Macaca mulatta: one gene and its partners. The protein of the gene in region 1 purifies or fractionates together with the protein of each later gene. This does not show direct contact. Links are inferred from orthologs where the notes say so. Each region holds a gene or a part of one and is shown on either strand. Other genes may lie near its edges.

The links. Proteins that work in one complex are often made in the same cells at the same time.
Region 2: the proteins of PLK1 (region 1) and TMF1 purify together in Homo sapiens (affinity purification with mass spectrometry; 5 studies listed by BioGRID and IntAct, counting the BioPlex papers as one, with this or other methods). This does not show direct contact. The link is inferred for Macaca mulatta from reciprocal best matches to the Homo sapiens genes PLK1 and TMF1.
Region 3: the proteins of PLK1 (region 1) and C1H1orf226 purify together in Homo sapiens (affinity purification with mass spectrometry; 3 studies listed by BioGRID and IntAct, counting the BioPlex papers as one, with this or other methods). This does not show direct contact. The link is inferred for Macaca mulatta from reciprocal best matches to the Homo sapiens genes PLK1 and C1orf226.
Region 4: the proteins of PLK1 (region 1) and PPP6R3 purify together in Homo sapiens (affinity purification with mass spectrometry; 3 studies listed by BioGRID and IntAct, with this or other methods). This does not show direct contact. The link is inferred for Macaca mulatta from reciprocal best matches to the Homo sapiens genes PLK1 and PPP6R3.

What each region holds. Positions count from the first base shown.
Region 1 is NC_133425.1:23,225,285-23,228,784, reverse strand, and holds part of PLK1 (serine/threonine-protein kinase PLK1), read right to left. Parts: intron 2,865-3,500; coding exon 2,771-2,864; intron 1,033-2,770; coding exon 813-1,032; intron 1-812. UniProt on the Homo sapiens protein: Serine/threonine-protein kinase that performs several important functions throughout M phase of the cell cycle, including the regulation of centrosome maturation and spindle assembly, the removal of cohesins from chromosome arms, the inactivation of anaphase-promoting complex/cyclosome (APC/C) inhibitors, and the regulation of mitotic exit and cytokinesis.
Region 2 is NC_133407.1:132,607,672-132,611,815, forward strand, and holds the start of TMF1 (TATA element modulatory factor), read right to left. Parts: upstream 2,801-4,144; 5' UTR 2,600-2,800; coding exon 2,458-2,599; exon of another isoform or gene 2,085-2,457; intron 1-2,084. UniProt on the Homo sapiens protein: Potential coactivator of the androgen receptor. Mediates STAT3 degradation. May play critical roles in two RAB6-dependent retrograde transport processes: one from endosomes to the Golgi and the other from the Golgi to the ER.
Region 3 is NC_133406.1:104,534,618-104,538,845, forward strand, and holds the start of C1H1orf226 (uncharacterized protein C1orf226 homolog), read right to left. Parts: upstream 2,801-4,228; 5' UTR 2,578-2,800; exon of another isoform or gene 1-2,577. Other genes in the region: NOS1AP (carboxyl-terminal PDZ ligand of neuronal nitric oxide synthase protein), read right to left, coding at 3,006-3,421.
Region 4 is NC_133419.1:6,159,125-6,163,103, forward strand, and holds the start of PPP6R3 (serine/threonine-protein phosphatase 6 regulatory subunit 3), read right to left. Parts: upstream 2,801-3,979; 5' UTR 2,725-2,800; intron 1,919-2,724; 5' UTR 1,845-1,918; intron 1-1,844.

The DNA of each region.
Region 1 (3,500 bases):
AGCCTGGGCAACAAAGTGAGAATCTGTCTCTACAAAAAATACAAAAAATTAGCCAGGCATGGCAGCACACGCCTGTAGTCTCAGCTGAGATGAGAGGATGACTTGAGCCTGGGAGGCAGAAGTTGCAGTGAGCCAAGATCACACCACTCCACTCCAGCCTAGGAGACAGCCAGACCTGTCTCAAAAAAAAAAAAAAAAGGAAATTTTTATGTTTTTCAATGAATCATGAAAAAGTGTTAGAAGGCCAGGCGTAGCAGCTCATGCCTGTAATCCCAACACTTTGGGAGGTGGAGGTGGGAGGATCACTTGAGCCCAGGAGTTCCAAGACCAGCCTAGGCAACATGGCAAAACACTGTCTCTACAAAAACAAAAAAAAATTAGCCAGGCATGGTGGCTCATGCCTGACAGTCCCAACTACTTGGGAGGCTGAGATGGGAGGATTGATTGAACCCTAGAGTTGAAAGCTGCAGTGAGCTGTGATTGTGCCTCTACACTCCAACCTGGAAAATAGAGGAGAGACCCTGTCTCCAAAAAATTAAATTAATTAATTAAAGTGATTGGAAAGAATTTTTTAGGCTTGGTATTCAGTCCATTTTCTTCTTCTTGAGCATAGCAGGTTTATCCAGCCATGGTAAGGTCAGTCTTTCCCGGCAAGGCCGAGGAGCAGATGGGCATGGGAATCACGAATTTAAGGACAGAGGTCTGTCCTAAACCAAACCTGAGCTCTTGGGGCCAGGGACTAAGCCACACACACCCCTACAACCTGGGCTTTCTCTGGGGAGTCTGCTCTCTTACCCAGACCCTTGTTGTACCTTTATTGAGGACTGTGAGGGGCTTCCGGTTGCTGGGGTCCAGGCTGCTGGGAGCAATTGAAAACCTCGGTGGAATGGTCAGGCAGGTGATGGGGAGACGGGCAGGGATATAGCCAGAAGTAAAGAACTCGTCGTTAAGCAGCTCATTAATGGTTGGGCGGGCAGTGGGATCTGTCTGAAGCATCTTCTGGATGAGGGAGGCGGCCACGGGGTTGATGTGCTAGGGCAGAGAGAGGGACAGCCATAAGCAGAATGTGAAGGGGACCCGGAGTACAGTACGGCCTCAAAGGGGCTGCAGGCCAATAGACCACACGCAGTCCCCAGTCTCAAATACACCCCAGGTTAGTGGTTCACAACTTGGTTCAATGCCAACTTCTCCACTGTCGGCTTTACTGAGCACCTTTGACAGAAGGGTCAATGGACTGTGGCCTAGCACCAACTCACTTTCCTGGCACTTACTATGTGCCAGGAAAGCATTCTAAGCACTCCTGTACTTAGCTCACTTAGCCCTCACTAATACATCTAAGGGGTGGGGCTCTATTATCATCCCTTTTTTGCAGAGGAGGAAAGTGAGGCACAGAGAGGGTGAAGGCCTTGTCTAGTTGGCTTGATTCCATGCTGTCTCTGACAGTGAACTGACACTTTGTGATGGATTTACTATGTCCGTCCTTATGGTGACAGGCCTCTTGGCTTCACACAAGGACACTACACTTCAAACTGGCTGTGTGCTAGGCTTCTGCAGGAACCAGCTATTCCTTTAAATGCATTTCTGTTGGTGGTTGTGAAAATACACACCATGGCCAGGTGTGGTGGCTCACGCCTGTAATCCTAGCACTTAGGGAGGCTGAGGCGGGCAGATCACAGGGTCAGGAGATTGAGACCATCTTGGCTAACACAGTGAAACTCTCTTTCTACTAAAAATACAAAAAAAGTAGCCGGGTGTGGTGGCGGGCACCTGTAGTCCCAGCTACTCAGGAGGCTGAGGCGGGAGAATGGTGTGAACCCAGGAGGGGGAACTTGCAGTGAGCCGAGATCGCATCACTGCATTCCAGCTTGGGCGATACAGTGAGACTCTGTCTCAAAAAAAAAAAAAAAAAAAAAGGAAATTGCACACCACTATGCCATTAGGAAGCCCTGGGATTCAGTGATTCATAATTCTGTGAGCACTTACTACATGTAAGGCACTCTGTGAGGTGCTCCAAGGCAGGAACTCCACTTTATAGACGAGAACTATGGTTCAGAAGATGCAGGCCAGGCTGGGCATGGTGGCTCATGCCTGTAATCCCAGCACTCTGGGAGGCTGAGGCGGGTGGATCACCTGAGGTCAGGAGTTCGAGACCATCCTGGCCAACGTGGTGAAACCCCATCTCTACTAAAAATACAAAAAAAAAAAAAAAAAAAAAAAAAAAAGCCAGGCAAGGTGGTGGGTACCTGTAATCCCAGTTACTTGGGAGGTTGAGGCAGGAGAATCGCTTGAACCTGGGAGGTGGAGGTTGCAGTGAGTCGAGAGTCGAGATCATGCCACTGCACTGGGGAACAAGAGTAAAACTCCACCTCAAAAAAAAAAAAAAGAAAAAAAAGAAAAAAAGAAGATGCAGGCCATTTGCCCAATGTGATCTGGCTAAGTGGCAGACTCAATTTGAATTAAGATAATCCATTTCCAAAGCTTAAGCACTTTAGCCTCCTACTCCTTCCTACCTCCTTTGTTTTTTGCTTTTTACGCAACTTTTGGGCTACCCAATCTCTTGAGAATCTGCCAACTCTCTCCCCCTAGAAAAAATGCTTATGTGCACATACATGTCAAGTTCTGTATGTAATTTCAGACACAGGCCCTCGTAAGCTCTGTGGCTATCCTAGAGGTGGGATAGACCTATTTCTGGTCTTAGGATATTGCTGGGTTCCATAAACAGCTTTTGGGGAAAACAAAATAAATGTAAAGTTAAAGCATCATTAGTCACCTTGGGAATACTGTATTCATTCTTCTTGATCCGGAGGTAGGTCTCTTTTAGGCAAGAAGTCTCAAAAGGTGGTTTGCCCACTAACAAGGTATACCTGTAAGCACAAGGTAGGATTTGGCACCAGCCTCCCAGCCACAACCCAGACATAAGAGAAATCATCTCAGGGTCAGAACAAAGACCAGGCATCCTCTGGACACTCACTGTAACTCTGGGGCCCCTGAAGACAACCAAGTCCACTGAGCAGCCCCAGGAGCCATAATATTGGCTAGAATGAGCCCTTACCAGAATACACGTGGTGAGACTAGGATTCTTAGGGGCCAGTGATTTTTTAGTTGTGGCCTGTGGTCATCTAGGACTCTGCAAGGGCCTCAGAGGCTGCCTGTCATGCAAAACAGGTCAAAGGGCTACCTGCACTTACAGAAGCAGCTCTACCTTTAGCAATTCTGTACTTAAGTCTTCAAGTTTTCATTTGGAAAAACCCCACTGCGAAGATGTATGAAAGTCACTGCTACAACTCATTTCTAACTCTCCAGTACCTAGGCCCCAAACAAGAAAGGTAATACCTGAAAAGGCCCAAGCCTCTGCCTGCCACCAACCGCTGCTGATGGTCTCAATCCAGACAGACCACTGGCACGTCATCCTTCCATCTGTAACTCCTGGCCTAATTTCCCCCACCATGCTAATGTTCATCAATGTTTAAGACCTTATTGTGCACGGGAACTACCAAGGG
Region 2 (4,144 bases), on another chromosome or scaffold:
ATTCATTTTCATCCACTTAATCACAGGCTGATTTTCTAAATTCCACTCTCCAAGCCCACTCTAAGAGGAGGTTTTGTTCTCAAATTCTAAATTATGTCAGAAATTACAATGTCATTATGAATTTCAGAAATGTGTTCTTAAGAACTATTGCTCTTTGACATAGATCTAGGTAGTTGACACTAGGGTTTTTAAAAAAATACTGCAAAGAAAATGACTATTTTCTTGGGGAAAAAGGTAATTATCATATCAGTCATACAAATAGCTACTATTAAAATCCTGATTTTTAAAAATGGCATAATCAGGATCTTAAAAATGGTATATTTGTTAAAATATTTAAAGCATTTCTTTAAAAATGTTTTCTTTTCCAAATTAAAATGTGGCTGAACAAAATATTCACAATTAGAAGTTGGTGGAGAGAGCACAAGTAACTAAAAGCTTCTCAAAACTATCAAGCCTTACAGTAGAATCTATCCTTTAATATGACTTCAGGCCAGGCGCAGTGGCTCACGCTTGTAATCTCAGCACTTTGGGAGGCTGAGGCGGGCGGGCCACCTGAGGTCAGGAGTTGAAGACCAACCTGGTCCACATGGTAAAACTCTGTCTCTACTAAAATTACAAAAATTAGCCAGGTGTGGTGGCGCAAACCTGTAATCCCAGCTACTCAGGAGGCTGAGGCAGGAGAATCACTTGAGCCCAGGAGACAGAGTCTGCAGTGAACAGAGATGACACCACTGCACTCCAGCCTGGATGACAGAGCCAGACTCTGTCTCAAGGAAAAAACCAAATATATATATGTAAATATATATATGACTTCAAAACCAAATATATATATGTAAATATATATATGACTTCAGTTAGGATGAAAAGTAAGTAGAAAACTTCAGTTTGGAGGCATAGTTCTACACATCCATTTGCATAATATATCCAAACCAGAGAAAATCAAAATTAAAGATGCAAATGAACAACCAAGATTATGTCTGATTAATTTAAACACATTCAAAGGATGACAGGAATTAATGTTGCCTCTTGGAGAATACTTTATATAATCCCAGGGTTATCTGGCATCTATCAAAATTATACCATTCTGAAGACTGTGGTCATTTTCAGAAAACAAATATCCTTACATATAAAACCTATATTCTTTCTTGTCTAAAGTTTAGTAATTCTAATTAACTGGGGCACATATGAAAAAAAACAGTTACTCCAGCAAGGTTATATGGCATCCTGAGGATCATGACATACACACATGGACTAAAATGCCTTAAAATGAGGTACCTCAAATTTAGGTCCTGACTTTTCACTGATGTAAAATTAAGAACAGAAACCAGAAAGGAGTAGTCAAGCACATCTCTTATCCTTTTTCACACAAAGGTTCACATCCCCCACACCTGCAAATCTTTACCCCACACATCAAATGCTAAACTGCTCCTTAGACTTAAGAGTCAAAAGCAACTGAATGAAGATCCCTGAAAGATTAAGCTCAATGAAACTGCAAGAGAGATTTGGCTATTCAGAAATAAAATGTGATACAATCCAAAAATCTTGGATCACACATTCCTTGGGTAATACCTCCAGCACATTCTAATCCTCATCCTCCGTGTGACCTAGAGCAAGTTACTTGGCCATTCTGGGCCTCATTTTCCTCTTATGTAAAACACAGATATAAACTAAGCTCACTCTGGGAGTCGTTCTGAAGATGAGAAGGCCATAAAAAAGCACATTACAGGTTTACGCCTGTAATACCAGCACTTTGGAAGGCCGAGGCGGGGGATCGCCTTAAGTCAGGAGTTCGACCAGCCTGGCCAACATAGTGAAACCCCGTGCCTACTAAAAATACAAAAATTAGCCGGGCATGGTGGTGGGAGCCTGTAATCCCAGCTACTAGGGAGGCTGAGGCAGGAGAATCGCTGGTACCTGGGAGGCGGAGGTTGCAGTGAACCGAGATCGCGCCACTGCACTCCAGCCTGGGCGACAGAGTGAGACTCCGTCTCAACAACAACATAAAACCACATTACGCGCTACCAAGCGTGAAATGTTCACGGAATGTTAGCGATTGTTCTTCCCTTCCCTGATGATTTACGTACTTCAGATCTTGGATCCCAACAGTGCAGGAGACGCGAGGCAATTTGAGGTTCAGGTTCGGAAAGGTTGTGCTTGGAAGTTGCGTCGAGGGAGGGCTTGAGGGCAAGACCAATCAACCAAGTCCCCTGTCATCGAAGTCCACAAGCCTCGCACCCACGACCAAAGACAAGGGGGAACCTGGGGCTGGGTTTTCCCTCAGGAAAACGGCAAAGACCGACTTGGAGGCTGAAGCAGCATTAGGGAATGGGCCGGGGAGAAATTACTTCCAGAGAACTCTCTCAGCAAGGAAGGACCCCTCTCTACACCACTTAACCTGTCTGCATCAGGAGAACAGCAGCCTCCGAGAGCCGGGAACCCCGCTCCTCTCTCTCTTACCCGGCTCTCCATACGGAATGGTCTCGGCCCAGATGCTCGGCTCCTCTTCCTGGATGTCCAGAACCCTGTCGATGGACTTCTGGGCCTGGGACAGGGCCTGCTTAGCGAAGCTGGAGAGCTGGGAGGCGTTGAACCAACTCATCGCCCCTCCTCAGCCGGCAGTAGCGGCGGCAGCACCAAGCGGGAAGGTCTCAGGCCTGCGGAAGGGTGCAGAGGAACGGCTTGGCTCCCTTTTCCACTCGGCTAGTTCTGTCAGCGTGTGGCCATGACCCCGAGAGCCTCCCGAGCGCGCGGGATGTTACCCTCTGCCGTTCCCGCACAGCTGAGATGAAGGGGTCCGTGTGCGCATGCGCCTGCTTCTTCCACGTACACAGCAAACAAACCTGGCAGCCTAGAGTCCGGTCGACAGACGGAAGAACAGAAGACAAGAACGTTGACGTCACATCCGGGAGCGCTGGGTTGCCCTTAGTTACCGAGGAACGCGGAAGGGTTTCTATTGATAGCGATTCCGTGCTTACAGCAGTTCTTAGCGAAGGGGGAGCTATGGCTACCAATAGAGGTCGATTTCCCCGGAAGGAATACTCCAGTTTTCATGTGTGTGCTTTCCAGGAAAACAGTTCACGTGCTAAAAGCTTGCACCTTGCCAGCAATAATTACAAAGGGAAATTTGGGCCTCACATTTCTCTTGGCCCTTTGTCTCAAATATTTAATAAGCTCTGTATTAACTTGGTATTATAAGGAGAAACACTTGTTTGGGCTTGCCTAAAAGGCAGGATCACGTATGAACACTGTGTCCAACCCGTGGAACACATGATGCATAAAGCACAACCTCTCTCTCAAAACAGCAGCAAACTCATTGCTGCAGTCAAAATACCCCTAATACTGTGGTCTATCGCAAATTCCTATGTTGAAACCTAATCTCCAATGGGACAGTATTAAGGGGAGCCTTTAGGAGACGATTAGATGATAAGGATGGAGCCCTCATGAATGGGATTAGTGCCCTTATAAGAGAGGCCCAAGGGAGCTCACAGCAAGAAGGCACCAACTCTAAGCCAGAAGAGCAGCCCTCACCAGACACCAACTCTGCCAGCTCCTTATCTTGGACTTCTCAGCCTCTAGAACTGTTAAGAAATAAATTTTTGCTGCTTATAAGCCACCCAGTTTATGGGAATTTGTTACAACAGTCCAAATGGACTAAGACACCTAGGAAGCACTAAAGCTGTTATCCTTACAATGTGCACTGTGCATATTACTTAAAATATAACCTTTTCTGTGTGCATTCTCTTCAAACATTTGGACATGGAAAAATACCTTAAACTGGTGGCCTTCCTAATCCAGTCTGCAGCTATATTTGGTTTGAGCCCAAGTTAAAGACAAAATCCTATCAACATTTAAAAGCCAGACTTCATTCAAAAATCTAGATTTCCAGCTGCTTTTGAAAAATATGAATACCAAGCATGGGAATAGTCAGCTAGAGTGGTCACCAATAATTTTCACTCACTCCAGTTTGCCACAGACCTCTATCACTCATCTTATTACACCCTCCCTGCTGTGGTCATTTACCTTATATGCCTGCCTCCCATATTTGAATATTTTACCTCACTGCAAGGAACTCTGCAAAAAAGAATTATTTTTCTTTTAAAAAATCAGATTGAACCCCTTAAGAAGTTATAATCATCTTCCAATA
Region 3 (4,228 bases), on another chromosome or scaffold:
GAAATAAGAAAGATTTATTTAGCAAAAGCCACTAGACTAGTGACAACATCCAGGGAGTAAGTGCACTTACATTAACAGAATCTTTTCCCAGAGAGTTGATCCAACAGAGTTAATGACACACAGCTTTAGGAAGTAGAGGGCTAGCAGGTAGAGGGTTAGGAGGAAGCAGTCAAGCAAAGAGTAAATAAAAGGAATACAACTCCTAAACAAGATCCATTGAGAGAAATGAGGCTAGGAAGAGGTTTTACAGAGAGAGCATTGATATAAGCAGGAATATAAGGAATATAATTTTTAATCCCAATATACAGTCCATCCAGTGTGGAGAAATTCTTTCCTGGCTCCATAACTGTGGGAGACTCCTGTGCACGAGAGCCTGCTGGCACCTGGGGCAGGCTGGGGCAGGCACCAATAAGGTCAGCACCCCTGGTGTCCATTTGTCCTCCATATAGGGCAAAGTAGAAGAATGAAAAAGAGGAAGGCAGAGTTGAGTTAGCAGAGCAAGAAGCAAGGAGGGAGGACAGGGTGACATCGTTGGGAAATCAGGTCTGCAATGTTCCCTTTCCTGCCCAGTTGGCCCTGATGGAGGGTTGGTGGCTGGTGATCCTTCAAGGCTCCTAGATCTGTCCTTTGTCTCCCATCTCCACACACCAAGTGTGCACTGGTTTGGGTCCCACTAGGGAGGATGCCAATATACAAACTAGTCCTTCAGGGAGGGCCTGAACTGGGGAAAGGGTGGGGCCCAGGCAGGAAGAAACCACCATGGAACACCCCAAGGGCAAGAGTCTTGGATGGGTCCCAAAGTCAGCAACACAGATAACTAGTTTCCCCAATTCTTTAATCTCTCCATTTCCTTTTGTCTATCCAATCTTAAGTTTTTACAGACCATTTAGAAATGGCCTTCCTCACTCGCTCCCTGGCCACATCCCACACAAGCCCTCTCCATCCACATTCCACACACCTAATCCACTGGCCTCTGGCTTTATCCTCAGCTCCTGCTTACGTCCAGAAAACAGACTTTTCACTCCTCTGAACATTCAAAATCTTAATAATCGAAGCGGTCTTGGACTCAAGGAACCCTGGGTTAGATTTAACAAGCTAGGTAGGCTCAGTCACACTGGATTCCTGACAGCTGCTCATTTAGTTTCATGGATTTCACTTTTCTAGTTCTTCCTTCTCTGTGTACCTGTACCTATTTCCAATGGCAAATTAGATCAAAACAAAACAAACAGAACCATGCCTCTCCAACTAAATGCATGTTAGAAAACACAAATCTGTTGCTGATTCAAACACCCTGGAGATTCCCACTCTTTTCTGTCTGGTCACAATCCTACATATAGGTACACACCTTCCCTCACACATGTATATATAAACACATGTGTACACACACACACAAAACACACACACACCCCACCCCATCCTATTTCCACTGACACCCTGATGCACCAAGGAAGGCTAACATAAAACTGAATTTATTTCCTTTCATTTGGACTTTCTGGGCTAAATCAACTGTGGCCATTAGAAGAGGACTGCACTTTTATTTATATACATTCTAAAGCAAAGCTAGGATCGATGAACTCCATTTTGGGACAATCATATCCTTGCCGATTGACCCTCCAAAAATACTGCAGTTTGCATCTGTAGCTTGTTGTCTAGGATAAAGACTTAATTCCCCAAACATATGACTCTAGCAGGTCTCAGCAATCTCTTCAGTCATTTGAAAATCTGTTAACAGCCACTTACGGCCTTACAGGAGCAAAGGAGCTTTCCCTCATTGCCCCAGTCAGCCCATTAAGGAGTGGTGATCCCTAGGCAAAGCCTAGATCATAAAAGATAAGACAATTGCACATGGCACTTTTTACAGGTGTGCTCAAGGCACGCACCCAGAGAGATGGGCCAAGGGTGGCAATGGCTGCAGTCCCTGACCCAAGTGGCAGTGATTCAGAAAAGTGGACAAAAACAGTCTCACAGTCTCAGCTATCAGCCTGCATTCACTTTTTTTTTTCTTTCTCTTTTTTCTTTTCTTTTCTTTTTTTTGCAGTAAAAACTGACCACCACTACCCAGTGGAGGGGACAGGTTGAGAGGTAAGGCTGGGGACTCTGGTCCTCTGGGGCTTTCAGAGAGGTAAAGTGCTGCAAAAGCTTTAGCTGGACAGGACACAGGGGAGGTGAAGGGCACTTCCCAGCTTCCATTTAGATGGGCTGGGCTACAAGCAGGAGGTGGGCAGGGCAGGGCTTTCAAAACAAGAATCAGATCTAAGTGACCTGGAGCAGCAAACAAGCTGTCCTCCCCCTGGGCTCTCACACCAAGGGCCTGAACCATGTTAAAGCTTCAAGGCTCCTTTTGAAGCAACATTCAATGTCCGGCTGGAGAAAACGTTTGGATTCAGTTCCTCTAAAAGATTATCCACTGTGACACATTCCAATTCCATGCTCACACTACAAGGACTAGCCTGGCTTTTATAGCCCAGATCACTCAATCTCCACAATCTCAGCAAGGGCCTGGAGAAGGAATTCCTCTCATAAAGGTAGGGGGAGGGTTAGGCAACTCAGAGCATCCTGATATCCGAAACAAAGTACCTGAGAAGGTACGGATGGCTTCCCTTCATGGTCGGGACCATGGAGATGGGGAGAGTGAGGGGGTACGGGGGCATCACGGACAAAGCGTGGGAGCCTGACGATGCAGCAGGTAGGAGCAGGTCCTCCAGCAGCCTGGCAGTCCTGGAGAGAGACCCTTTCCTGAAGCCATGGGCTCTGCAAGGCCCTACCTCCATCACCCTCTAGTCACAAGTAGGAGAGGAGCTGATTCACCTCTGGGAATCCGATTTCTTCCCCCACTTTACCCTCCAAAGCAGAATCTCAATCCTTTCCTGAAACCTCACACTCTCCCGGGCCCCGGCTGGCATTTTCCTCGGCAGCGCGCATTCACTGGGCATCCCCTACCCGGGCAGCAGCCAGACACGGCCCCTCCAGCCACGCCGCCGCCTCCATCTCCTCGCCCTCGGCACCTACACGGCGATCTCATCATCCAGGCCGTCGCCCAGCTCCTGCCTCTGCAGGACATTCAGCAGGCGCGGCAGCTCCTCCTGGGACCACGAGTCGCGCTCCTCGCTCTCGTCCGTGTTGGACTCGTACTCCGAGGCGATGCCTGACTCTCGGAACTTGATGAGCTCCAGACCGCCCAGGAGCGCCTCGCCCTGTGCTGGGGGCGGGGTGTCCTCGGGCGGGAGAAAGCGAAAGCACTCCAGCTTCACCAAGCAGTCGCGCCTACCTAAGGGGCTGCCCGCAGGGTGGGCAAAGTCAGCCAAGCCCGCGCCCAGCGGCGGCGAATGCAGGTCCTCCGGCTTAGGGGTCGTGGGGTCACAGAGCACGGGCAGGGCTCCAGAGCGGAAGGTGATCTCCAGCAAGCTGTCCTGGGAGCCCACTGCAGGGGAGACAAGAGGTAGCAGAGGGGCAGCGTTAGGCAAGGTTGCTGATTTGGGATGCCCGCCTTCTGATTTGGGATGCCTGCCTTCTGTCCGCCGGTGCCCTGCAAAAGCCCTTCCCAGACCAGCTTAGCAGCACCTTCCCGGGCTTTGGATCTCTTAACTCTTCACCCCTTCCTGGCGCCCCCACATAGCTCCAGACACACCTCGCTGGAGGGGAGGAGCTTTGGGAGGTGGTAAAGGCGGGGACATGAGAACCATATGATGGTTCTGGAAGCCACTAAAGGCTCTGAATAGTGTTAGTGGTAGGAAAAAGGTACCAATTGAGAGAACCATGTTAGAAGCCTGTGGTAACCTTCAGTACAATCATATAAATAAGCATTAATTAGGATAGAGCAGAGTTTCAATGAATAATCTGGAAAATCCAGAGAGGCTTCCAGAGTGGTGAAGGTTTCCAATCCATACCTCTGGGTTACTTTAAAAATACAGGCTCCCAGACCAGCCCCAGACCCAATGATGCAGGATCTCTGTAGGTTGGACCCAGTAAGATGTATTTTTAAAAGAGCTCACGGGATAGTTTGGGGGAACCACTGGTATAGTTGGAACAAAGTTTTGCAATCAGATCTAGGTTTGAATCTTGACTCTGCTCCTTGCTAGGCCTGTAACCTTGAGCTAATTACTTAACCTCCCTGAATCTGTTACCTCATCTGTAAAATGGCATCCCATTTTTCTGCAGCCGAACTACAGGGATTAAATGATCTCACATGCAAAAAATTCTATCACAGTTTCTGGCACAATGTGTGGTC
Region 4 (3,979 bases), on another chromosome or scaffold:
ACGCCACCATGACCGGCTTACTCTTGTATTTTTAGTAGAGACAAGGTTTCACATGTTGGCCTGGTCTGGAACTCCTGACCTTAAGTGATCCGCCGGCCTCCCAGAAGTGCTGGGATTACAGGTGTGAGCCACCGTGCCCGGCCAAAGCCTTATCTTAAAAACCTAGGCAAGGCCGGGCGCAGTGGCTCAAGCCCGTAATCCCAGCACTTTGGGAGGCCGAGACGGGCGGATCATGAGGTCAGGAGATCGAGACCATCCTGGCTAACATGGTGAAACCCCGTCTCTACTAAAAAATACAAAAAAACTAGCCGGGCGAGGTGGCGGGCGCCTGTAGTCCCAGCTACTCAGGAGGCTGAGGCAGGAGAATGGCGTGAACCCAGGAGGCGGAGCTTGCAGTGAGCTGAGATCCGGCCACTGCACTCCAGCCTGGGTGACAGAGCAAGACTCCGTCTCAAAAAAAAAAAAAAAAAAACCTAGGCAACCTCATCCTGTCAATGTTACTTCTATTCATTTTCTGCTCAGCTATGGTCTGATTCTCAAATTCCCAATTAGTTCATTGAAACTAGCAAGTTTTTGCTTGTTTGCTTTGCTTTGCTATACTTTACACAAAAGCTAGACTTCTAAACCCAAAACAATCTTCTTCCTGTCCTGAAGTTCCACCAGCAAGATACTCATCTCTACTTAAGACTGAATCCATCAAAACACACTTAGCTCCAATACAGCAAAGCAAGTCCCAAGTAAACACAGCAATACCAGGGGAAAGGCACGCAAGGTTTCCAGTACCATGGAGGAGAGCACCGGGCAAGTGGTAAAGAACTGTGAGTTTATTTCTAACTGAGTACACGGCATTGTGTTCAATGTTCTACACTCCTTGACCAGAAATGCTGAAGTGGAGAATACCTTCCAAAGTATCCCTCCAGGACAACAGCTATTTCCTAAACTACCTTTGCTGAAAAATACTGCAATTCACGGTACATTTACAGTCTTCAGTAACAACGAAGAGTACACGAAGTTACTGATTTGGGGGGCAGTCACCCAGAAACTAGTATCCAAAAGCACATGAGGAATAAAGGCCGACTTAAGCTTGTGATGGGTTTTTCTGCATTTAACCACCTCTTTAAACATTCTGAGGTGCTACTACTCATCAATTACTCCGGTAAATGTACCTAACTTAAGGAATGTTCAAAACCCCTGTACTGAAAAAAGGTAACTTCTAGTTTTACTTTTTCAGCCCAACTGACTCTTACACAGAGCTTTCTAAAGACAGTCACCAAGAGTCAGGGCTTAAATGCTCATCTGACTTCCCAATAGTACCTAAACATTTAAAAATCAAATTTAAATTAAATAATAATAGCCATTAGGTAGCCTAATCACTAATCAGACACTGAGGTGATTCTGTGTGCCAGGCACGGTTCTCGCTGTTTTACATGTATTAGGGCAATAGTCCTGACAAACTTATGGCTGGGACGCTTATTATTACTCCCATTCTACAGAGAAAAATAAGAGAGAGAGAGGCTGGGTAACTTGCCCAAGGTCAGAGAGCTAAAAAGTGGTCACTGACTCCACTCCACAGTGAGGAAAATCCAACCACCACCATAACTGGGTCTCACACACTTGCTACTTGAGGCACATTTCGATGGTTGGAAACCTGGAGTCCCGTTTCCCCTTGAAACCTATCTGCAACATGCATGACCTTGAGGACAAAATCGAAGTAAACTTCCCATGAATAAAGTAGGCTACCACCCCGTCAACAAGTGCTGCGAGAATGAAAGGGAATGCCTGTCAAGACCCCCTCCCATAAAAGCAAAACACACCCAAAGTCCCACAGAAAAAACGTTAAGTACCAGGAAAATGACATTAAGTCACGCGGCTGAAACGTCAGGGCACGGAGGTACATCCAAAGACCCATCCCGTTCACCTATAATTAAGAAGTCCAAATTGTGATCACAGCCAGCAGGACCTCAACAGGAAACACCTCCAAATTAATAGTGAATGGGCTTCTTTAAGAGGGAGGGACTTCAAGCCACAAGAAGGACCACCCCCCCCCCCGGCTCAAATACACCAGGGAGGCATTCGAGACAGTCTACATCAGAGCCACCACTGCAGTTAAAAAGCCACTGGGAAGGGTAGTGGGAGCCTCGGAACTGGCTGGTGTGGATCCCGATGACTCTGCGGCGAATTAACAGAAACCCACAAAACTTGTTTCCCGGAGAGCAGAGTCCAACAATGGCCTTCGCGACTCTTGACGGCGAGCTGCTGCCTCAACTTGACGCGCTCCCCGAGGCCCCCGGGAGGAGTTGGCCGGGAGGCCCGGCGGGAGCGGAGACCGGGCGCGGGCCAGGCGGTGGGCGACGCTGCGGGCCGCCGCCGGCGGGCGGGAAGACTGGAGCCAGAGCCGGGTCAGGGGCGCGCCTCTCCCGCCCGCCGCGCAAGGCCGCGAACGTCAACGCGGCGCAAAGTTCGCCGCCCCGGCCGCGTCCCGCTCCCGGCGCCCGTCCCGGCGGGGCCCTCGGCTGACAGGAGCGGGCTGGGAGCGGCCGGGAAGGACTCGGCGCCGCGCCTCCCGGGCCCGCGGAGCGACGAATTCCGGGGGGGGAGGGGAGAGGGGCCGGGACGCTCCCTCCCTGAGCCGCCGAGGCCCAGGTGGAGGGGCCCCGCGCCTGCCCGCGCGCCTCGCACACCCCGCGCCGCGGCCTGCTCCAGCGCCTCCCCCACCCCCATTACCTGGAGGTGCCCACGACCCGCCGCTAGTTGCGCTCAGGCGGGAAACGCGCTCACCGACACCATCAGCAAAGCGCCCAAAATGGCGGACGTATCAAGCAGGCCTTGAGTTCCCCCCGCCCTCCCTCTGGCCGCCTCTCAGCCAATCGCGGCCCTGCCCCCTCCCCCAGCTCCAGGCTCATTGGTCCCTCTCTCCCGGCCCCTACCACCTATTGGATCGCCTAGCGGCTCCCTTGACTCCATTCCGATTGGCCCGCAAGCCTCGTCAGTCAAGCGCGAGGGGCGCATTCTTTTCCCATGTACTTGACGGATCCGGAACCTCTAGGACCCCGGAGCCTGAGAAACAAATCAGAAACCGGGAGAGACCTGTCTGGGTCCCCCTACGCCGTAGCAACAGCAGGGCCTCCGCTTGACGGACGTATCGGACCACCAATCCGAATGGCCAGTGCTTTTAAAACTAAATTGAGCCAAACCAATCATGGCCGTGAAGCCGGAGCCTCAAGGGAGCCAATGGGGTGGCGAGCTGGCCGGGCGGGGCGGGGGTGGCAGGGGACACCGGTGATGACGTGAGCCATAATATGCGCCGGCTGCAGCAGTTGGGCTGAGCTAGGAATTCAGCATAAGTGGTGCAGTGTTTGTTTGGCGTGTGAGAGGTAGTGGGATCGATGCCCGCCTTCCCCACAGCAGAATTTTTATCAGAGGGATTTCCTATTGCGGCTTCTTTACCCGAAAGAGGTGGCTGTCCTCGAAGCGATGTCAAAGTGAGGGATCGCGGAATATTCCTACCTATAACCCACCGCTAAGAGATAAGTCCCCTCGTCGTGGGGGAAGGATTTAGACGAGAAATTTTGGGATTTGGTTTTGTTTGAGACGGAGTTTTCCTGTTGTCGCCCAGGCTGGAGTGCAGTGGCGTGACCTCAGCTCACTGCAACCTCCGCTTCCCAGGTTCAAGCAATTCTCCTGTCTCAGCCTCCCGTGTAGCTGGGACTACAAGCGCACGCCACCATGCCCGGCTAATTTTTGTATTTTTAATAGACACGGGTGTTTCACCATGTTGGCCAGGCTGGTCTCAAATCCTGACCTCAGGTGATCCGCCCACCTCAGCCTCCCAAAGTGCAGGGATTATAGGCCTGAGCCACCGCACCCGGCCTGGGGTCTTTTTTGAGACAAGGTCTTGCTCTGTTGTCCGGGCTGGAGTGCAGTGGGATGATCATGACTGGCTACAGCCTCCACCTCCTGGGTTCAAGCGGTCCTCCCA